3 linked regions of the Notamacropus eugenii genome follow. The protein of the gene in region 1 interacts with the protein of each later gene in a pairwise test. Links are inferred from orthologs where the notes say so. Each region holds a gene or a part of one and is shown on either strand. Other genes may lie near its edges.

Region 1 (7,252 bases):
AGGACTAAGTGGAAAAGTATCTAAATGTTGACCTAGAGATGAAGTCTTGAGTTCAGGCCCAGAGTAAAGCAACTTAGTTCAGAGCCCCACTAAAACACTAAGCATTCAGGCCTCTCTAAATTTAGTGCTTTTACTTACCCACTCCCAACCCTACCCCACCCAAACACCCAGACCCTTCCAGGTCCCTCCTCTGGAGGTGCTGTTTCCCTTCTTCACTTTGGTTGCCTCACTACTCCACACAGAAGAAATTCACCCACTCTCATTCTAACTTTGGGTTCCAGAAAGCTCTGACTTTATGCTTAGCCTCTCCTCTTGCTCCTATTTTCAGACCCCTGTAGTTTCCCCTCACCTGGTCCTGGGCAGGAGGCGGGACGGGACGTTGTTTCTCCTGCACACGGGGCTTCTCTCTCTGTTGAGCATAGGTGAAGCTGGGAGGCTGAGGCTGTTGAGGGGACCCTGCAGCAGTGGGGGGTGAAGGACCCACCTTCTTGTGAGGGGGACCCCCAGGTGCTGGAGGACTAAACTTAGGGGTCACAGGAGTGAACTTGGGGGCCACAGCATTAAACTTGGGGGTAGAGGTAGGGGCTGGGGGTGGGGGTGGAACTGCAGATGGAGCTACAGCTGGAGGTGGAGCCACTGGTGGAGCTGGAGCCACTGGTGGAGCTGGAGCTGGGGGACCTCGAGGCTGTGTGGTTAAGGTCTTAGACACAGATACAGAGTGGGACTGAGGAGGGCTAGTAGGAGCCAGCCAAGGAGGAAGAGGTGCTGTGCCAGAAGCTGCAGATGGGACTTTAGGCTTGGGAGGGAATTGGGGGGCAGCTGGGGGAGGCACAGATCCAGATGAAACCTGCAGGGGAGAGGAGTTAGGGGGAGAACTAAGTTAGAAGAAGGTGTTGTCTATCCTATCACACACACACCCCTATGTAGGTTCACTGTGTTTATCTACAAAGACACAGCCCCCCCACACACACCTATGCAGGTTCACTTTATCTACACACACAAATACACACACACACACACACACACACACACACACACACACACACACACACACACACACACACACACACACCTATGTAGGTTCACTTTATCTACAAAGACACAGCCCCCAAACACACACATACATTCCTGACCTCCCCCACTTTCCCTACCCCATCCCTCACCCTGGGCTTGAAGGGATCATTCCGGGCCATGTCATCCAAAAGGGAGGACAGAGAATCCATCTCCAGGTCAATGCTGCTCACCTTTCCTCTAGGCTGAGGAGTAAAGAATTTGAGGACCCAGGCAGACTTCTTTATACATCGTACACTGAGTTTCAGGACTCCCCTCCCCCAAGGATATTCAATCCTACACAGCCTATAGGGCTATATGGAAGTTTCCTAAAGTTCCCTGCCCCCACTGAATATTTCCCTGCCCATAAGTGGAGAAAGCCAGGCAGAAACAGTAGGCCTCCTTCTATAGCCCTTTTATGGAGTATCCATTTCAGCCCAGTGCTCTTTTCCCTTCACTCACCTGATGGGCTGGTGCTGGAGGTTCAACCCCCACTTCTTCTTCCAGAGGAGGTGGAGGGGAAGGGAATGTCTCTTCTTCTGGAGCAGGGGGGAATGGCTCCTCAAATGGAGGAGGGGGTGGCGGAAAGGGCCCTCCCAAAGAAGCCTCTCCATCATCCCCAGGTAGCAATGGAGGTGGTGGCAGAGGGAAATCTAGAGGCAGGAGAAAGAGATTCATCAACAAGGCCCTCCTCCAGTTGTACTGGGAGGGCCTGTAAGGAATGAGGTAAGACCTAAGGTTTACTGGGCATCCTGTTCAGGCCTCTGAAGTCCTGGGTATCCCAGTACCCCATAAAGAGATCTCTTTCCATTAAGAAGGTATGTTTTAAGTCAGGAAGTCCTGCTGAGAAGGGAACTCACTCCCCCTTTCAGTTTAACAAGCAAACTCAAAGAGCCATGCCCCACACACATTCTCGCTCACACCCACCCCCGGGCCAGGAATTTGAAATGGACCCAGGAGTCCTGGCTCGGGGCCACGGGCTGCAAGATGAGGTAAGAACATCTGCTCAGACCGAGTGGCCCGATACCCTCTCCACCTCCCCACCCCTACCCACACAAGCTCCTCGATCCCTTGCACCCCTTGGCTTCCAGACATCCCCCCACAAAGTCCTTACCTTCCGGGGGTGGGGGAGGAATCTCCCCCACCTTGCCCATCTGAGCCCTCTGGGCCCCGGGCCCTGGCGGGTTCTCCGAAGCCCCGGCCCGGAAAGGGTTCACTTTGGGTTTGGGGGCCACGACCGGGGCAAACTTCTTCTGCGGGGCATAGAAGGCGGGCGCCGAGACCGAGACGGAGATGACAGGGGGGGGCCGGGGGGCCGCCATGCGGAGGCTGGGCTGGAGGAAGGGCCGCAGTTACCATGGACAGAAGGATGAATGGATGGCTCTCCCCGCCCGCTCTGGAGCCCCCAGCCCCGGGACAGGGAAGGGCCCGCAGGCCCCCCCCACCCCCCACCCTGAACTTGCGGCCGGGGCCGCCTGTCCCCTCTACCCCATCCTCTCTCACCGCGGGGCTCGGCCCGTCTATTCCGCCAGCACGAAGGAACAGTGGTCAGTGCGACGTCCAGCCCAGCTGTGACTCCGTCCGTCCGGGCGTCCCGAGCGGCTTCTGACTGGGGGGAAGGAGGGCGGGGAGACACAGAGGCAGGGAGACCATACAAGGAGCGGCCCAGAGAGGAGGCGGGGAGATCTGGAGCCAGGAGGCGGGGAGAACTGGGGAGACGAGGTGGCTGGGCTGGGCTGGGGGGTGGGAGAGCAGGAAACTCCCCCAGGAAGGGGCCCAGATCACGCCCAGGACCAGGGAAAGCAGAGAAGATCCTCCTCCCAGCAAACCTCCCCGCGGGCTACAGAGTCAGAGACGGGCCGGCCCTCCCAAAACACGCTCCGCTGATGTCATTTCCTGACCTCCCCCCAACACACAGCGGCCCCCTCCTCCTTCCCGGAGGTCTGACTCACTGTCCCAGTTCCCCCCATCCCACCCCCATCCTCACCTCCCACCCCCGTTCGGCTTTGTGCGGCCAAAGTCGGGCTGGGGGCCGAAGGAGCAGATCCAGCCTTTGCCCCTGACTTGGTCTTCCAGTCCAAACCAGCTGTTCTCTTAGCCCCCCCAGCCCTGTCTCCCCGCCCCCCGTTCTCCTCCTCCACCCAGGTCCCCAAGAATTCCCGCCTACCGCCTGCTCTGGGTCTAGACTCTAGGGAGAAAGGACGTAGACCCGCTCCTAGCCACTAAACACACCTCCCACCCTCTCCCCACGGCCGCCGCCAACACGTACACGCTTAGACAAAATCCACACGTTTCAATGGGGGGACCGAGGGCGCCGGGGCAGTGAAATGAGGAAGGACTGCTAAATCACCAGACCCTATTTCCCTAGGGGTCCAGGAAAGGTTTCTAGCTCTTGAGCTACGAGTTCAAAATACGTCTTTTCAGCAGCTCCGGGTTAGCCAGAGCTCCACCCCAAAAGCCCCTCTGGGCTAGTGAATTTAAGACTCAGAATTGCTAGAGGCATGCACTGGGCTGGCCTGAAACTGAAGGGAAGTGGAGGTGGGTGTGGTCTTTTCAGTTATTGAAGGTTTGGGGGGAGAATATGGAGAGGTCAGAAAGGTATTTTTACACACACAAAAGCCAAAACCAATTCAGTTTGGGTGCATCTCTCCACACACCCCCACACTCCTACCCCCCCTCCGCCAGAAAGAAAACCTAACTAGCGTCATTGAATAAGAAAACTATAAATGAAAGGGACCTTAGATCTACTTCAACCCCTCTTTTTAAAGAGGAAGAGTCTTTAGGCCATAAGGGTAGTAAATACCTTGTCTAGGGTCATACACCTAAGTTATTGTGCTTGTCCTTCATTTTCGAAGAGGACCATGACATCAGGGAAATGATGACCTGACTTGCAGTTGACTTTGATTCGAGTGAGGGAGTGCTATGCAAGGTCACCAGCCTCACTTTTTCCTCCACAAACACCTAGTAAGTAAGTGGTGGATGGGGACTTCCAGTGCTGTAAGCATCTGTAGTCTATCCCTCATTATCAAATGCTGTACTTTCTTCTTTTGAAGAGTATCAAGTCAATTGGCATTTATTCAGTACTTATCATGTGCCAGGTCCTGTGCTAAGCAATATAGGATACAACTACTGTACAAGCAAAAGGGACTGTTTCTGTGTTCAAGTATTTCACATTCTAAGCTCCTTCTACCTCTCCTACATGCTCCCTTATTTTCATTTCCACTACCTTCCTCATCAATTTAATAAAAAGTCAATTTAAATGTATTTATTAAGTATCTATGCAACGCAAGACACTGGATTTCAAAGATGAAAACCAATACAAACACTGACCTCAAGTTGCTTATAAGCTACACAGGCTATGTTATGTACAAGAATTATATAATACTAAGGTAACACCTCAGTACCCCACTCACAATTGGGTCTCCGGTACTCAGAGTCCACATCCACTCAGATCATAGTTCATTATCCCCTAATTTGTTAATTGTTACTAGTTAGTGAGCAGACAACAGTAGATGAATGCAAAGGCATTTAATGAATTAGCCTCATAAGAAGAAATAACGTTAGAATAATTCCCCCATAAAACTGAATAACACTCTTCTATAAACACACACCATCACTGGAAGAGGTGAACTACAACTAGGAAACATGTATGGAGGGGCACATATGTAGAAAACACTTATTCGCAGGGTATACCCAGGGATGGGCAACTCACACCTTTGAAACCTAGGGCTGCTGATGTCTTCTGGAGATGTTACCATGCTGCTCCACCTAGGAATACTCCCCACTGATCTTGCTTGGCTTCTGCTATATGGTCTTCTGTTGGTCTACATGGTTCCTGCCAAATATGGATCCACCAGATACAAGATTGGATAGCTTTGTTCTATTACTAATTTCTAACCAGCTAGAATCATCAGCTGAAGTGTGTTATCTCTTGCTGTAAGAAGGAGAGGGGTGGGCTCTCCACCATGACTCTTTTAGCTTAAAGTCCAAAGGCTTCACATCTTTTAGAAATGCAGAGCCATCACATCACATCACTGCTAATTGTTTTCCTTCCCATTGATTAGTTTGGTAGTATTCAGAGTCATGGTCATGATATAGACTTTCCTCTTCAGAGACAAAGATTTTCTTTCAGAGGCAAAGTCCTTTTGATTTACAAAATAGTTAGCTAATTTTTGCCCACAAAACATTAAGGGGCAGCTGGGTGGTGCAGTGCATAGAGTACCAGTGCAGGAGTCAGGAAGACCTGAGTTCAAATCTCATCTCAGACGCTTGACACTCACTAGCTGTGTGACCTTGGGCAAGTCACTTAACCCCAACTGCCTCATTCTGGGTCATCTCCAGTCATCCTGATGAATATCTGGTCACTGGATTCAGAGGGGTCTGGAGGAGAAGTGAGGTTGGTGACCTACACAGCCCTTCCTCACTCAAAACAAAGTCAAGTGCAAGTCATGTCGTTATTTCTCTGATGGCAACGAAGGATGAACACACACAAGGCATTAAATCTATTTTTCAACCCAAACTTCACCAAAAGCAAGGTCTCTTCCAAACTTCTATCTAATTTAGGATCAGAAAACCCTTATAACATCTGTTTATATTCCAACTGCCAAGCATCACCACTTCAGAAATACTTTAAAGACTTCCCTCTCAGCAAAAGTTCCCTGATTTTCTCAACCTCAAGGTTCTTTTTGGTCCCATATACAAATGAATGGAAGGGGAGAAAGGGCAAAGGTATATCCCACTCCCCCAGTCATCTGAATGCCTTTCTTTCAAAGTTCTTTATATGTTTATTTCATATGTATATATTTATATACATACATACACACACACACACACACACACACACACACACACACACACACACACACACACACACACAAAGATATTCAAGCTCCTAGTTTGGTCACCAACCTAATCTTAGTTTCAAGGTTTCAGGTTTCCTTCCTAAATTTGATTGACTCAATTAGATCTTTGATAAGAATGAAACCAAGAACTTTGGAATAGGGTGTTTATTCCTTTGCATTGACCACACCTTCAAAAGCAGGGAGACCAATAAGTTTTATTTTGTTTTTCGTTAAGGAGAGGCCAAGGACTTTAGACCAGGTCTAATTCTTCAAGACCTTATTTGGGTTTTGTTGGCAAAGATACTGAAGTGGTTTGCCAAAATCTTCTCCAGCTGATTTTACAGATGAATACCTACAGCAAACAGGGTTAAGTGAATTGTCCAGGGTCATACAGCTAGTAAGTGTCTGAGGCCAGATTTGAATTCAGGAAGATAAGTCTTCCGGACCTCAGGTCCAGGTCTCTAGAGCTGCTCTGCTATCTAACTGCCTCTTTTAGGCTAGGATCCTGCCAGGTGATCTTCAGAATTTCTTCAAATGCAAAACGAACACTTGCCAAAAAGACTATTTTATGGAGAACTCACATAGGGCAAAGGTTCACATGGTGGTCAGAAGAACATTACAAGGACAATCTCAGGGTGTCCTTAAGAACTTTGGCATTGATTGTGTGACATGGGATCTACTGGCACAGGACCGTTCAGCATGGCCTGCCCTCATCAGAGTAGGTGCAGGGCTCTATGAGCAAAGAAGAATTGAAATAGCTCAAAAGAAACGTGAGATGCGCAGATTTAGAGAATTCACCCCAAATGTTCACATAACGTATTTGTGCCCATTCAGTGGTAGAACATTTTGAGCTCCTATTGGTCTGATCAGCCATAGTTGGACACACTGTAACTTGACTCTAGCATAGTGACGTCATTTTGGTCCTCTTCAAGAATGAAGAACAACAACCAACTAGCCAACAAACCAGGATCTTGTCATTATATTATTTCTTGAGATTTCCTTGAAGGACAGTCTTTAGTGAATATATTTTTACAAATGTATGGATGGGAGATATTTTGTTGTAAAAAAGCATACAAGGAAGCATTTTGTTCATATGAATCAAATGTTGTTGTTTTTTTTATAATTAACAAATAATGGGTAAAATGGGACCTTAACATTCTCTAATCTTTCATTTTGAAATAGTAAAGGTGTGGTCCATAGCTGAAGATTGCTTCTAAAAGTCATTTCCCTACCTGAATACCCTTGTTAAGGATGCTCTCAATTACTATATAGGTGATTTTCAAAAGGATTTTGTATAAATGGGAGAGTAGGTATATAGGTGATTAGTTTCTGATGGTCTCTTGGTTGCTTTTTTCAGTATT
Region 2 (7,760 bases), on another chromosome or scaffold:
GTAGGTTCCATAGGGTTGGGGAAGGAGAGGTAAAGGAGGAGGTGAGGATGGAGACAAACAGACTGGTCAGCTCCTGTGTTCTTGTGGGCCTCATAAGGAGGGCTCAGCAAGTCTTAGGTGCTCTATTGGAGAGGTTAGGCCTGGGTTGACTGTATGCATGATAGGACTACACTGCCTATGGCACCCTGGTTGGGTCCCAGTAATATGATCATCTCCAGAATCTAGGTGGCACAGTTGATAGAACATCTGGATCTGGGCACAGGAAAACTGAAGTCAACCCTGCCTCAGACACACTTAATAGCTGTGTGTCCCTAAGCAAGGGACCTTAACCTCTGTCTGCCTTAATTTTCACAACTATAAAATGGGAGTAGTGATCGCATCCACCTCCTAGGATTGTTGTAAGCATCATGAGATACTTGTAAACCCTGAAGTGCTCTATCATGTTAGCCATTATTATTCTTATGAGTTTACCTGAGGTGAGAGAAGATTCTAAAAGTAAGGCTCTTTTAGTTTGACAGACATTTATTAAGTGCCAAATATGTACAAGGTACTGGACTAGATACTAGGGATATAGAAAGAAAAAAATAGGGAAAATGGTCTTTTTTTCCTGAGGAGATTATATTCTAGTTGTTGTCTGGGCCAGCTGAGGCAAAAGAATTGGGTTTTGTCTTTTGGCAATCAAATCGGCATCAGTTCTCCTGACTGACAGTGCTCTCTCTCTCCCTCTCCCTAGGCGCAAGGCTACCCGTTCAGCAGCTGAGGCATCCCTCAAGCGTGATGGCCTGAGCTCAGATGAGGAATTTGACAATATCTATGACCCCTCATCCATCGCATCACTGCTCACTGAGAGCAACCTCCAGACCAGTTCTTGCTAGCCAGTAGTCAGCAAGGAGATTAGCGGCCAGGTTGCAGAAGGTTCTTCCCTCCTCTGACCCTAGGCTCCTTTTTCCCTGGTCCACCAGAGGACCCTGCTAGAGGGAGGGTCTGGATGGTGGTAAGGGGAATTCCTGAGCATGGGACAGAGTAGAGCTATGAAATGCACTTTCCCTCGCCTCCTCTGCGGAGTTTGGGTGGGAGTGGGTAGGTGACAGGAGAGAAGGAATTAAGAGATTTTAACCTATAGAGCTTGTACTTTTTCAGCCTCTTTATCCTAAGGCTCAGGGACATTCTCCATGTGATCCTTTACCCATCCTTTTCCTGATTGGGAAAGGAGGCTTGGGAGAAGGGAGATATCATGGATTGTGGACACGCTGGCGTGGTCCTGCCTGCTTTTCTTTGCACAATCTGTGGGTCACTGGGGTACCCCAATGCCTCTAGACTTTCCATTTTACCTTTACCTGCTTTGAGCCAGCAGATCCAAGGGACCCTTTTTCCTCTTCCCAAGTCATCCTTCTTACCTTCTTCTCAGTGCCTTAGCTGGGGTGAGGAGATGGGGTGATGCTCTTCCAAACATAACCTCCTCACATCACCATCAGGTTCCGTTTTTGGTCCTTGTGCTCATCCTTATTCTCCAGATTGCTGGTTAAGAAGGTAAAACAAGACAAGCTGTCTTTCCTTTCTAGGGAAAGGAGAGGCAAAAAGGGCCTGTGCTAGGGTAACATGGTTTTGTGGGAAGGACTTCTTACGTTCATGGGCTTCCCTTGGTGGCTATGTGGTTATGATTTGGTTGGGGCTAGGGAGCCCTGCCAGTTGTCTCAATACATTTAAAGATTCACAGATCAAAGAGCCTCGTCAGGTCTAATGGTTCCACTGCAGGCTTCCCACAGATCTACTCCTGGCCACAACAGGGAATCCAAGGATCCCTCATTTTCTCAGGAGCCTGGTCCCTAATGCTAGCTTCTCTGCCTCAAGCTTGGAATTCTGACTTCAAAATGGAATGAGAGGAGGAAATGAAGACCTCCATACAGCCTTTGGCTTTTTAGGACAGACCCAGCCCAAATGAATCAGCAGCAGCAGCCTGGGGGAGGGAAGCATGACTACACTCACCAATGACTTGTAACTTTGTGATTTTTGTACCTCTTTTCCTTGGACAAATCAGATATCTTTCTTTCCCTCCAATTTTTTTCCTCCTTGATTTTATTTTAAATTAAAATATATATATAAATATATATATCTTTATATTGTGGACCTCATTATCCCCTCACCTTCCCTCTATGGCTGTTTTCCTAAGTTCTTAACATCCAAGAGCTGAAATTGGAAGGGACTTCACAGCTCTACATGATGGGGAGGGAGCTGGGCAGCACAAGCTGCAGCCCGAGAAAAACCCAGGGGTCCTGGCTGTATGACCTGTCCCATTCTCCACTAAATTCAAGGGAGGTACAAAAGGCATGGAGGTTGTGGAATCTGTTAGGGGCAGAGGGGCTTTGAAGAGGGGGGGAGGAATGATTGGGCAGATATGGAACCAAATAGAACTGGTTCTCATTCCCTGGGGCTATCAGGATGAGGGGAAAAGGAAATTCCCAACACCCATTTCTCAGGTGCAAGGGTCCCCACCCATTCTTACTTGGCATAGAGCCCAATCCTTGTGGTGGGGTGGGGAGGCAGAGTTTCTGCCAATCCTGTTCAAGTGTCTGTTTGAAAGGGGCAGCTATCTTCAGGCATGGTGCTATCTCCAGTGCTACTTATCTCTGTGCTATCTGCCAGGGTACCTGGTGGACTTGAGTTCTAGCAGCACAGGGGTATGCCAACAGCAAACTTACCAAACGTGCCCGGGGCCACCTGCAGTCTTTCCAATGCCAGACTTATCGTGCCTCATTCTGAGACGAAGCCCTAACTTACCTGTGACCCAGTGTGGTAGTCACCTGCCTAGAGTGGTAGAGTGCCTGGGCTGGGAACTGGAGCCTCTGGGTCTTATGCCAAAGCTTTGCTCCCTTGTCTTCTCTTTCTTTGGAATGTTTAAGTAGAAGAAAGGGGGTTTTGTTTATCAGCCTTTGCAGTTTCTTCTTACCTGTTTATACTTCCTGAGTCCTTGTTTTAAAATTGCTATCAACATGAAAATTGTGACGTGCTTGCCTATATCCCTTTGCTAACGTTTACATGTTAAGAAACTTTATAAAAGGACTTTGGTAAACTAGAGTCCATTCAGAAGTGTGCAATCAACTGAGTGAGGGTACTGGGAAACCGTGAATAAAAAGATCATTTGGAAGAACTAGGGCTGTTTTGCCTAGAAAACAAGGTTTAGGGAGGACCCTGAAAATAGCTAATGATAACAGCTAACACTTAACTTAGTGCTTTACAGTCTGCAAAGTGTTTTACATATATTATCTCATTTGATCCTCCACAACTCTGTGAGGTAGGTGCTATTATCCTCATTTTATAGATGAGAAAACAGCCTGAGAGAGATTAAATGATTTGCCTGCAGTCACACGGCTTAGTTATCTGAGGCTGGATTCAAACTCGGGTTTTCTTGACTCTCAATCCAGCACTGTCATCTATACCACCAAGCTGCCTTTCGATGATATTACTTATCTTCAAATACTGAAAGGACTGTCATGTAAAAAGGAGGCTTGATTTAGTCTGCTTGGTCCCAGAGGGCTGAATCCAGCAATGCACAAAGTTGCAGAGGCAGATATGGAAAAAGCTCAAAAGTTGAGTTCCCCTAAAATGGAATAAGCTGGCACTGAAATAGCTAGTGATCATCATTGAAACTCTTTAAGTGGAGCATTGACCATTTATTGATGATTTAGTTGAGGGAATTCTTAGTCTGCTCCAGTTTGGACTAGATAATTTGTGAGATTGTTTCCAACTGGGAGATTCTATGATTGTGTGGAGCATGCAAGATGGCTGGCTCCCTGAGATCAAGTTACAAGACTTGATCCGGGAGGGCAAGCCAGTCTAGTTCCTGGGAGTACAGATCACTCTTGGCAGTTCAGCCCACCTGTATCGCCTATGGAGGAGAGCAGCTGCAATTGATTCTAAACCCTGCCTGGACAAAAACAGAACCAGCTGGCATCCACCGGCAGGTTCTTGCCAAGCCAGGGCACCTGACAGGCAGGCCTATACTCAGCTTTAGTGAGGGTGACTCGCTGACATGCATAACTACAGAGGGAAGAGAAAGGGACCATCCAGCTCCACAAAGCTCTTATGCTCACAATATCGTAGGGTTTAGAACTGGAAAGGACTTTTTTTTAAGCCTTTTAGTGATGAGGAAATCAAATAGTAGAGATGAGTCTCCAACATCTTCCCTTTCCATTGTCAGACTCGATTAGAACTCTGTGGAGTTCTAATACTTCCCCCATCCCCTCTAGGCATGAGGTAGCCCCCCCCCCCCCCCTTTGGTTCCATCCATCCATCCGGAACAGCTAGGAACTAATTCGTAGCTTGGGGAGGGGAAAGGAGACGCTGAGGAAGGCCAGTTGGAGAGGAAAGGGATAGGGAGAGAAAAAAAGAAGTTGACCTGAAAGTCGGATGACCTAGAATCTATTTACTACCTGTCTGACTTTAGATAGGCCACTCCCCCTCTCTGGGTCTCAGTTTGCTCAGCTGTTCTATGAGACGGGCCAGGACTACATTTACCCGAGCTCTCAGGTACTTTGGTTATAAAGTAACACTTACTGAAATTAACATTGGAGACCTGGAAAGTCACTCCTGTGTGGCGCCATAACCCCGCCCTTTATGCAAATAGAAACTGCCGCCAAGGGGGGCGTGGCCAGGCTACTAATACCCTGTCCCGCCCCTAGCTGCTTCCCCCGCCCCTCTGTCCTCTTCCAGTTGGCTGAGTCTAGACTGAGAGGAGGTGTGGCTTCCCCGGCTTGCCCGTGGCTCGATGCGCCTATATATAGGGGGGCCGGTCCCGGCGTCCCGCCTTCCCAGTAGGATCTGGACCGCTGCGGAGCGCCGTGCTGGCCTTTTCGGAACCGCTCCGGAGCGGTCCGGGCCGGAAGACCATGAACGGGACGGGCAACTGGTGTGCTCTGGTGGACTTGCACCCCGAGGGGGAGAGCGCGGTAAGAAGGGGCAGCGGCCCGCTGGGGCGCAGTCCCGTCCCCCATCCCTTCATTCCCTGCCCTGCTCCCCTTTCTCCCGGCCCATCCCCAGTTTCGCTCGGTTGTCTTAGGCGTTTCCTCCCAGTCCTGTGCCATCTTCCGCAGGTATCAGGCCTCTTCGCGTTCCGCCCCCACCCCCAGCCGGGTACAGCTCCCGGACATGGTCTGGGATATTGGCCACCTGCCCTTGGGAGGCGACGGCCCGTCCTTGGCTCCCCGTGACACTGCTGGTGCGGTGACGACTTTAGCCCTTGAACCTTGCTTGGATCACTCATCGGTTGAACCTTGAGAGAGGGAGGGAGGACGTATTTCAATTCAACCTGCGTTCATGAAGCCTTATGCTCGGTGCTTTAGCTAATTTTAAAGGGGGAAATAGCCCCTGCCCTCCCAGAATTTACCTTCTGCTGGAGGAGCGGCTCACACGCACCCAAGGAAATTACAATACCAGGTAGTTGGAGAAGACAGACCGACATACCATTGAGGGTAAATCAGAAAAGGCTGAATCAGCTGAACTCTTCCGGAACTTCGGTTTTTCTAATTTGTAAAATGGGGATTGGGATAGTATCTGCATCCCCCACCTCACAGGTTCGTTAGGAGGCAAAGACTTAAGTCTACCTAGAAGTACCATGTAAAAGAGTGATGATGTGATGGATGGTGATAATGAATTCATATGACAGGATGTGAATCTGGGGAGGACCTGCTTTTTATTTACTCTATTTCTAATTATCTCTCAGTTTCTGATTTCGGAAGAATTCAGAAGTTTCTGGTTTCACTTTGTGACCTGTAGCATCAGAGATGCAGCTGAGCTCTTAAAAAATTGATGCAGGGTACTTTTTGGACCAAAAAAAAAAAAAAAAAGACTGGATTTGCCCTTCCCCCTCCTTATTCAGGTTCCTCCTGTGGAGCAAGATTCAAATGAAAACCACCTAGAGAGGCATGTCTTTCTTTGAGAGATGGTCTTTTTCTGCTGTGGAGAAATCCACCTCCCAGGAGAGCCTCTAATGGGACCAGTCCTCTATCCTACAGGCTGTGACCCCAACCTACTTCTGGTGTGATCCTGAGTGTCTTTTAGTTGTACTTTAATCTTCAAGTCTGTGGGAGGCCAGGGTGGAGGAGGAGGAGCTAGGACAAGAAATGGGCCCTGGTCCTTTACTACACAGGGCCTAGAGATTTCCCCACCCCAATACAAGTGTGCCGCATATTTCTTTGACCCCACTACCCAGCTGTTCCTAGAGTTTCCCAGGGAGAGGAGGTGGAGGGTAAGTTGTGTGGTTCTGTGTTTTCTGGCTCCTCTAGGGAATTTTACCCAGCGTGGGTGTGTCTGGTTTCATAGATTTTCAAGCTGCTATGGTTTAGAGTGAAACAGGATAGGGGATGTTTGTAAGGAGGTGTGTCTCCCTTCTCCCTGGATTTTTTCCTCCTCTTTTGTGGCTGCCTGATGCATTGTCCTTGAGGTAGCCTTTCTCCAACTCACATGTTAATTCATTTAAATTATATTTGTGCACTGGTAATTTCGTATAATTGGCATTGGAATTCACTCATCGTTCCCCTTGTCTCCTGCCCCCCAGCAAAGGAAATTGAGTTTCTTTCAAGCAGATAGATGCCTTGGTCCTGCACCCCCCAGACCATGCCTCCTTCTAGGCAGTGGCTACTTTTCTTCTTTATCCTATCCTAGTTTCTGGATTCTCAACAGAACATTCATTCTCTTTTGTTCTTTGCCCTGGCCTAGCCCTACGATTTCTTGTTTCCTGTCCCTGATGGGGGCAGGGAGAAGATGTGTGTGTGTGTGTGTATATGTATGGTGGGGGGGCAAGAAATAGACAGGGAAAGGGATATTCAATACTCTGTATGGATGAAGAAACAGTCTCAGAGATGGCAGGGCACTCCTGAGGTCATTAGGCCAAAGCATTGGTTTTATTGAGAATGTATCCCTGTTCTTTCAGTCTCTAATGTGTTTTTCCTTGTCTGATAGAGCAGAAAAATGGATAAGAAAATGGGGAGAATGGAATTCAGACCCTCTTCTCCTTTCTGAAAGAATCTGAAACCAGATCCCTTTGAACACAGGAAGTAGAAATTCCCTCCTACTTTTAGTCTATGGAGTCAAAGGTTTATCTTGTACTGAGATTAGGGAGGAATGAACTGGCCGGTTACTAGCTCGTCCTGGACCTTGAAAGAGATGGGTGAGGATGAAAATCAGGCACCCACAGCAGGCTCCCCCCAGAGGATGTCCTGGATTTTTCCCTTCTGACCCAGCCCTAGTCAAGCACCTGGGACTTATGGCTCTCTGGCTGGTCTCCAAAACCCTGTTAATACTTATTGATGGATTCCTTTGTGAGTGGGCAGTGTAGCTGCCTGAACCAAAACATGGAATCCGTGAAGGGAGTCAAGAGCCAGGGTGTCCTTTAGAGTTTTCAAGTGGACATGATTTTTGTGAGTGGTAAAACTTCTTCTGATTTCCCCTTTTTATATTGGAGGAGGACAGAAGTAGGGATGACACAAAACAGCAGATAACCTAAATGTTTCGTATTTAAATGAATCAAAAAGCCTTTGTTAAATGCTTACTGTGTGCCAGGCTATATTTATCTTTGGCATGGATTCTCTGATTTTAACAAGCTTCCCCCCACACACCCCAAGATTCACCTTCCTACTTCTTATCTGCTTAACCTTTTCTTAACCTTTTTTGGGGGGACCTCTGTGGCAAGTCTGATGAAGCCAGTCGGCCCCTCCTCACATAATGTTTTTAAATACATAAGATTATAAAACAAACCAATTATA
Region 3 (7,911 bases), on another chromosome or scaffold:
TCCTGATTTTATTCATAGAGATTGATCATAAGAAGTAGTAGACAGAAAGAAATATAAATTTGGAAGACCCACCAAAAGTTACCTAACTTATCTGATAAAGACAACCTTAAGATATCACTTTATGTCTACTTTAATTGCAAAATAACCCCAGAAATGGTAAATCAATGTTGGGAAAGAAGTTCTAATACATTTTAAAAAATAAAATAAAAACTAATGAATTATTATTAATGTGAATGCTGATGGTGGCAAACATTTTGAAGAGTAATCTAGTAATATATAATATGATCTAATTAACAGATCATAACTTTAGACCTGGTGACTCAAAAGTGAGGCAGCAGAGTAGAAAGAGACAGCCTTGCACCAGGAAGATCTAGGGTTACGGAGCAGCTAGGTAGTGCAGTGAATAGAGCACTGGCCTCAGACACTTGACACTTACTAGCTGTGTGACCTTGGGCAAGTCACTTAGCCCCAGTTGCTTTGCCTTCCCCCTTCAAAAAAAAAAAAAAAAGAGATCTGGGATTAAGACCCGAGTCTGTGACACATCAGGGTCCAGTGACCCTGGCTGAGTCATTTTACTTTTTAGTGACAGCTGCCCCCAGACAGCTAAGACTCTTAAGTTGCAGAGATGGAGCAGAGTTAAATTGGGAGGAGTTTCCTCACCTGGGAGTTCCCTACTCCATTGAAATCAGAGGTCAAGTCCCTAGACCTTGTCTTTAAAAAATGGAATAGAAAGTAAGTAAGGATCTATTGATACAATCATTATCTCTGCTTCTCTATATGTAAAAATAAATAATTAGAAACATCTATGTTTAATGTTTAGAGAATGTCATGCTCAATTGTGATATTTATATTACAGTGCTACCCCCTAAAGAAAGGATAAATAGGAAGTGTAAGAGAAAATATGCAAAGACCTCTATGAAGGAATGCAAAGTAAAATGATCAGAATCTTCTAACATATAATGTTTGAAGAAGCAACATGGCACATAATATAACATATATATGCATATATGTACATACTGTATATGCAGTTACATATGAAGCAATGTGCCATAATGGATAGAGAGTTGGTCTCAGAGTCAGGAGGACCAAGATCCAAGATCTAGCTCTGAAACATGCTGGCTATACTCCTGGAAAAGTCACTTAATTTCACAGTGCCCCATGCAGCAATCAATCTAAGACTGAAAGTTGCAGAATGAAAGTTGCAGAATGATCACAGATCTATGCTGGTGGAGGCATTTTCTTCACCAGGAAGAGATTCCCTACAATAGTAAAATAGGTCCAAATATAAACACACACACATACACCCCTCCCCACACACACACACATACACACTCATGCACATGCACATATTTGAAAGCCAAATGTAGCAGAGTAGCAATCTTGGAATGGAACAGAAAATAAAAGCATTTTTTGTTTGTTCATTTGTTTCTAATTTGTTAAATGTTGAAGGTTTACATAAAATTTTACATGTTTGTTTTCATCAATTGGTACAAAAGCATATTCATGAATTAATAATTTGTAAATGATTAAGTTTATAATAAAAATTAAAAACAAAAGCAATGTACTGAATCACTTCAAAAGGAAGTTAGTGGTCAATAACTAAATATTTATTAAGCATATATTATATTCTTAGCACTAGGTTAGGTGTTGTTAAGGATTTTTAAAAAAGTAGAACAATGATTAATATTTATCCATCACTTAAAAGATTTGCAATGCACTTTATACTGGGTGTCCCAAAAGTCATGGCTTAAAAATGACCAAAGACTTTTTAGACACCTTGCATCCATGATCTCATTTTGATCATGACACCCCTACCCCCATCGCCACCCTCCATGAATTACAGTACTATAATTATAATTATCCCCATGTTATAAATAAAGACACAGAGAGATAAAGCAATTTTCCCATAGTCACGCACTTCTTGTCAGAGAAGGGATTCGAACTCAGGTATTCCAGACTGTAAATCTAGTTCATTTTCTAAACAATATAATTAATATTTATATGGTACTTACTATGTGCCAGACATTGTGCTAAGCACTTTACAAGTATCATCTCATTAGATTCTGATAATCCAGATAGGTGCTATTATTATTCTCATTTCACAGATGAGGAAACTGAGGCAAATGGAGGTTAAGTGACTACATCAGACTGACTACTTTTGGTCCTACCTCTCAACAAGTTTACAATTTAAAATAAAACCAGCTAGTAATTATTTAACTGTGAGTTACTGGCTTTAAGTGAAAAAAAATTCAGTAGAGGGTGGAGGGTGGGGTGGGGAAGCATTAGGAATAGTTATTCCTAAAAGTCTAAGTGAAATTCTAGGCAAATGTAGTAGTTTATCATACTTTGAAGCACAGAGCTGGGTACACAGAAGAAACTGAATAAATACTTGCCAAATTGACTGTTTGGTGACAGAGAGATACTATTGTTTGTTGCCAGACACAGCTAAAAGGGAAGGATTCCCCTAGCCACTCATTACTTCACATGGTTTCTTTGGGGCTGAATCACTGACAAAGAATTGCATAGCACAGGTGTCCCACACAACAGATGGTCTTAATTAGCTGAGCTGCTAGTCAAGGCATGACTCTCCCCACACGCACACTCTCCACTAGGGCATTTGTATCTCTTCTGTGATAAGGAATGAATTATTACATTTAGCCAAATTATAAGTACCTGTGTCCCATTCAAAGGGCTCTTTCTTTTTCCTCTTCCCCATCTAAATAACCAGGTGTCACTTACCTCTGGAGATTTGTTCATGATGCTGATCCCTTTGAGTTTTGTCATGCCAAACTGTGCCTCTTGTAGTATGACAGACAGTCACAGTGGGAGAAGGAGGCTGGATGATTAGGCAATGTCACTTCTCAAAAGTGTCCTTCAAAGACGTCATCTGACAACACACAGGAAGGTGGTGAAAGGAGTCTTCTAAAAAGCAATATTTCTAGAACGTCTCTTAAGTGGAAAATGAAATGGATGCGTATGACCCCATAAATATGACCTCCTCTCACTCTTCACTGGTTTTCTGTGTACAAGCAGAGATCGCCAGTCTGTTTGCCCGTCTTACACTCACTTCGTAAAACCACATACACAGGGAGAGAAAAAAAGGTCAGCCTACCATTTCATAGAAGTTCTTATTTCAAATAACTCAGTGAAGAATGCTATAGGCTCTGGATTTTGCATGCCGAAGTCTGATAGGTTCACACTAGGGTGAAGTGAATCAGACTTCTTCAAACTTTCTCCACTGAAAAGAAGAAAAAAGGTTAATTTGCAAGTTTTCTACATTTAAAATCCTCTTCATTATCAAAGGGTTGGATGAGATAATATAGGTAAAGTGCTTTGCAAACATTAAAGCACTTCATGATACCTCCTTAATGCTAGTGCCTTTTCTCTGATAATTATCTCCAAATTATCTTTGTACATAGTTGTTTGTGTGTGTTAACCTTGACACATGCTGTTCCACCCATTAGACTATAATAAGTTCCTTGAGAGCAAGGACTGTCTTTTGCCTTTATTTGTATTCCCAGTGTTTAGTTTAGTACTTAGCACATAGTAGGTACTTAATAAATGTAGTTTAAAAATGTTAATTATATCATCATCATCATCATTGTCATCAGAGCAAGGAAATGGTCCTGGGTTCTTAAACGCTATGCCAATGGCATAATTTGGGAAGGTCTTATCATATCAGAAAAGCTTTAAATATGGACTTTGCAAGTCTGGCACCCAAGTTCCAGGCCACCTAAATGCAAAAAGGCTCATTGGTAGAAGGCTGGACACTATACGATGATTTTTTTAAGCCATAGCAATCCATGAAACCATTTGTCTCCTTTCTAATTCTATAGTGATAGTGGTGGGAAGAGAGCAGAGGGTACTCGCAGTTGTATGTCTCTTAGACTATTTTACAAAAAAAAAAACATTGAGCTGACACTCAAATTTTCATATGAATTTGTGATCTCATCAATGTGAATGTTTTCTCCAGTGATACAGATCACAATCCATCCATATCTGCCTGTTTGATGTGACTATTCATGCTTTTAGAAAAGGAGAGAGAAAGACAGAGACAGGACAGAGAGTGATGCAGAGTCAGAGATAGAAAGAAAAAAAGGAGGCAGAGAGACAGAATTAGAGACAGAGAATGATGGAGAGACAAAGACAGGGAAACAAAGAAAGAGAGTGACAGAGACAAAGACAGAAAAAGAGAGACAGAGACAGGAATGAAAAGTGACAGAGACAGAGATAGAGATAGAGAGGTGCAGGGAGACAGAGACAGGGTCAAAGAGAACAGAAAGAGGGACAGATACAGATAGAAATAAAAACAGAGAGACAGAGACAGAAATACAGAAATACAAAAACAGACAAACAGAGACAAAGACAGAGATAGAGAGTGAGAGATACGGAGAGAGAAAGAGATAGATAGACAGAGATACCGAGACAGAGAGAGAAAATGGCCATTAGTTTTTCATATGTCCGAAGGCAAGAAGTAACATCACTTCACTGGATACTTGGGCATCTTACCTTATAATGCTCATGATGAACATAAACAAACAGATAAAACCACAGCTTATGTACTAAGGTCTGTTGTAAAAAAAATAAAGTAAGGATTTTAAAAGTAGAGACTTCAAAGTCTTTTAAAATACATTTTTATTGATGTCTTTTGTTGTTAAATCACCTTAAGTTCTCTGTATTCTTCCATATCTCTCTTCCAAAGAGCCATGCCATATGTTGTTTTTTAATGGGAAATCCCTCCACCTCTGCAAAAGAGTAGGAGGAGGTGTCTTCTCACCTCTCTTCTTTGTGGTCATGCTCATTCTTTGTAATTTTATCACATCTTTTTTTAAAAATGTTTTGTGGCAGTTGTTCTTTACTCTGTTTTAGTCATTTTGTATATTATTTTCTTGATCCTTCTTACTTCACTCTACACTATTTCATGTAAATCTTTTCATACTCCTTAGTGTTTACATATTTGTCATTTCATATAGCACAATAATATTCCATTACATTCAGGTGCAACAATTTGTTTAGCTATTCCCCAATCCTTCAGTATTTCCTTTCTTTCTAGGTCTTTACCTCCACAAAAAAAGATGCTACTATAAATATTTGATTTATATGGAGCATTTCTTTTTATCAAAGACTTCTTGAGGCATATGCCTAGCAGCAAAGTCTCTGAGTCAAAGAAGATGGATATTTTTATCATTTTAGTTGCCGATTCTAAATTGTTTTCCAAAATGGTTGCAATAATTCACAGGTCCACCAAAATGCAGTTGTGTGCCTATCTTTCCACAACTACCCCAACATTGACTATGAAATATGGAAAGACCATGAAGAATTTGAAAATATCTTTCATAGAAATCAATGTATACCTTGGTACATTGAGATGTCAAAGCAAAGTGGGCAGCAAAGTTTACAATATGTTGGAAAATATGATGTGAAATCAAGACATGAAAGAGGCCAAAGGCTTACAGATGACTCAGATGCCTCATGCTTATAAGTCATGAATACCTCCTAGAGGAAGAAAGTTGTAAGACACTGAATGTGGTGATCATATAGCAACATTTCAAAAAAAGTGAAAATTATTATATCTTAACAAAATAGCAAATGTCTGGTCATTGGAGTCATTTCAGATCCAGCTTTCTGATTTCACTGTATAGTTTGATTGAAGGACCAAATCAAAACCAGCCTGGAGCAATGAATTAAAACGAGAATAAGATGTTGTGTGTGATTGCAACAACTCTAACTGCATCTTTTCAAAGGAGTTGTCATCACTCCTGTTATTTTCATGATAAAGATGTTGTCCCTATCACTATTTCTTAGAGATTAATTGATGTGAAATAGTAAGTATAATGAGGAAGCTATAAGAGCCCAGAAACTGCTTTATCCAACAAACATCAAGTGCAGACATGAACTACCATGGTTAAAATTGTTTTGCATACACATTTGTTTGCAAAACATTAAAGAGGAGGATGGAAAATGGGTAATATCACTTGAACAAAACAGTGAGAGCATGAAGAATACTTACAGAAATAAGTTGAAATAATTAATTTCCAGATATCCATTTTCAAAAGGTACAATAATATCTATGATAGTAGGGTGGCTAGGTGACCCAGTGAATGGAACACTGGCCCCGGAGTAAGGAAGACATGAGTTCAAATTTGACTTCAGACATGCACTAGTTGCATGACCCTGGGTAAGTCGTTTAACCATATTGACCTTAGTTTCCTCATCTTTAAAATGAGCTGGAGAATAAAATGGCAAACCACTCCAGTATCTTTGTCAAGAAAACCTGGGTCAGGAAGAGCTGAATGTGACTGAAACAAGTCAACAACCACAGTGATAGTGGTAACACAATTCTTGCTAAGTCTGGTCTTAAGGCCTCTCCTAGTTCAAAAACTGTTGAATTTACCCAAATCTTAGTTAATTTTTTTTTTTGGTAATTTAATGGCATTAACTAATCTTTTAAAAATAGCATCCTGCCATTGAGTAATAGCTCCATGCTTTTGAGGACCACAGTGGCAAAGGAACATTTCATTTGATGCCCTGTGTCAACAACAAACAGCCCTTATTTCCAGAGCCAAATCTCCTGACCCCATTCAATGGGACACAGTCCAATCTGGCTCTGTGAATGAATCACCAGTCCATAAATCAGGTAAAGCATATTTTCTTCATAAGGAAAATTGAGACTATAACCATCAAGGTAATGGAATATACTTTATACTGATTGTGTTTGCAGACTACTTAAAATAAAAACACCACACATTTTAAATTCTTCTCAATTCCTTCTAGGACCAACAAAGTGTTATTTAGCCATAGTTCCAAGATAACACTATTCTATTCAGTCTCCTCTCAACTGAGATTTTAGCTGACAGTCATTGGGAGGCTACCTGTAGCTGGGACCAGATGTTAGATGCTACTGTGCCTTCATTTCCAAATTCTTCTTCCATAGAGTCATTTAAATAAATGATCATGTGCTCTGATTGAGGTTCATGTTTTATTTTGTTCCTTACTGTATCTCTAAGAGAATGGTTGGCCCAGATTAGTTGATGCAGAAACATCACTCCATGAACCACCTGAATGATGCCTGCTGCTACAACTGGAAGTAGTAGATTCAATCTATCCCATCTTCATTTCATAAGAAAAATACAGTGGTCAATATTGACTCTGGGGCAAGTATAGCCCCATCTCTTGAGGTCATTTTTAGCTTTTCTAAGACTCTAAGAGCACTCTCAGGGACCACATCATTCTTGAAGTGCAGTGACACATGGGGTAAGATGAAAGTGTTTACTTCATCTATTTTTTGCCAAGGAGCCAATTATGACATATCCATGAGGCCCAAGTCTGTAGTCATGTTGGTTATCACATCCTTGACAGAATTTTGGTTTGGAACCCCATGGGAATTCCAAGGTAAGAATAGATGTTTTCTTCAGACATTATTAAGATCCCTTGATTTTTATATTTGAAATTGCATGGGGCATGTTTTCTTCTGGCTATCATTCAAGAAAGATACGCATTTGGTCCTGCTAAAATGGAGTTTTGGTCATGTGGCAAACTCATTTATGTTGTGCAGCATTTTGGTCAGGGAACCACTATAGCCAATTTTCTGTATATGCTTTTGGATACCAATTTTCCTGTTGTGTGAACTATATCCTTATCTTGTCCTTGTCCAGGCACGTATTATCAATTCCATTTTTAAGTTAAAAATTACAGGACTAAGAAGGTAGCCCTGACTCAACCCTGAGTAAATGTTAATGCTTGGTGTAAGCCATTTCTAGTGAGGGATCTTACTTACTTACAATCTAACAGAGTCAATAACACTAATGAATTCTTAACTGCTTCATGTTATAGTCAATCAATATTGTCTTCTTTGACATTGAATTGAATGTGATGATTAGGCCAAGCCAGGCTACCCCACACATTTTCCTT

Evidence for each region.
Region 2: the proteins of ZYX (region 1) and TUFT1 interact in binary tests that used the Homo sapiens proteins (3 or more experiments, as listed by UniProt). The link is inferred for Notamacropus eugenii from reciprocal best matches to the Homo sapiens genes ZYX and TUFT1.
Region 3: the proteins of ZYX (region 1) and CASS4 interact in binary tests that used the Homo sapiens proteins (3 or more experiments, as listed by UniProt). The link is inferred for Notamacropus eugenii from reciprocal best matches to the Homo sapiens genes ZYX and CASS4.

Annotation. Positions count from the first base shown.
Region 1 is NC_092874.1:104,911,732-104,918,983, forward strand, and holds the start of ZYX (zyxin), read right to left. Parts: upstream 3,053-7,252; 5' UTR 3,038-3,052; intron 2,660-3,037; 5' UTR 2,554-2,659; intron 2,385-2,553; 5' UTR 2,373-2,384; coding exon 2,165-2,372; intron 1,704-2,164; coding exon 1,513-1,703; intron 1,257-1,512; coding exon 1,164-1,256; intron 848-1,163; coding exon 350-847; intron 1-349. UniProt on the Homo sapiens protein: Adhesion plaque protein. Binds alpha-actinin and the CRP protein. Important for targeting TES and ENA/VASP family members to focal adhesions and for the formation of actin-rich structures.
Region 2 is NC_092873.1:305,446,797-305,454,556, forward strand, and holds the start of TUFT1 (tuftelin), read left to right. Parts: upstream 1-4,703; 5' UTR 4,704-4,886; coding exon 4,887-4,946; intron 4,947-7,760. Other genes in the region: CGN (cingulin), read left to right, coding at 734-875. UniProt on the Homo sapiens protein: Involved in the structural organization of the epidermis. Involved in the mineralization and structural organization of enamel.
Region 3 is NC_092872.1:509,784,321-509,792,231, forward strand, and holds the start of CASS4 (cas scaffolding protein family member 4), read right to left. Parts: upstream 3,058-7,911; 5' UTR 2,785-3,057; coding exon 2,740-2,784; intron 1-2,739. UniProt on the Homo sapiens protein: Docking protein that plays a role in tyrosine kinase-based signaling related to cell adhesion and cell spreading. Regulates PTK2/FAK1 activity, focal adhesion integrity, and cell spreading.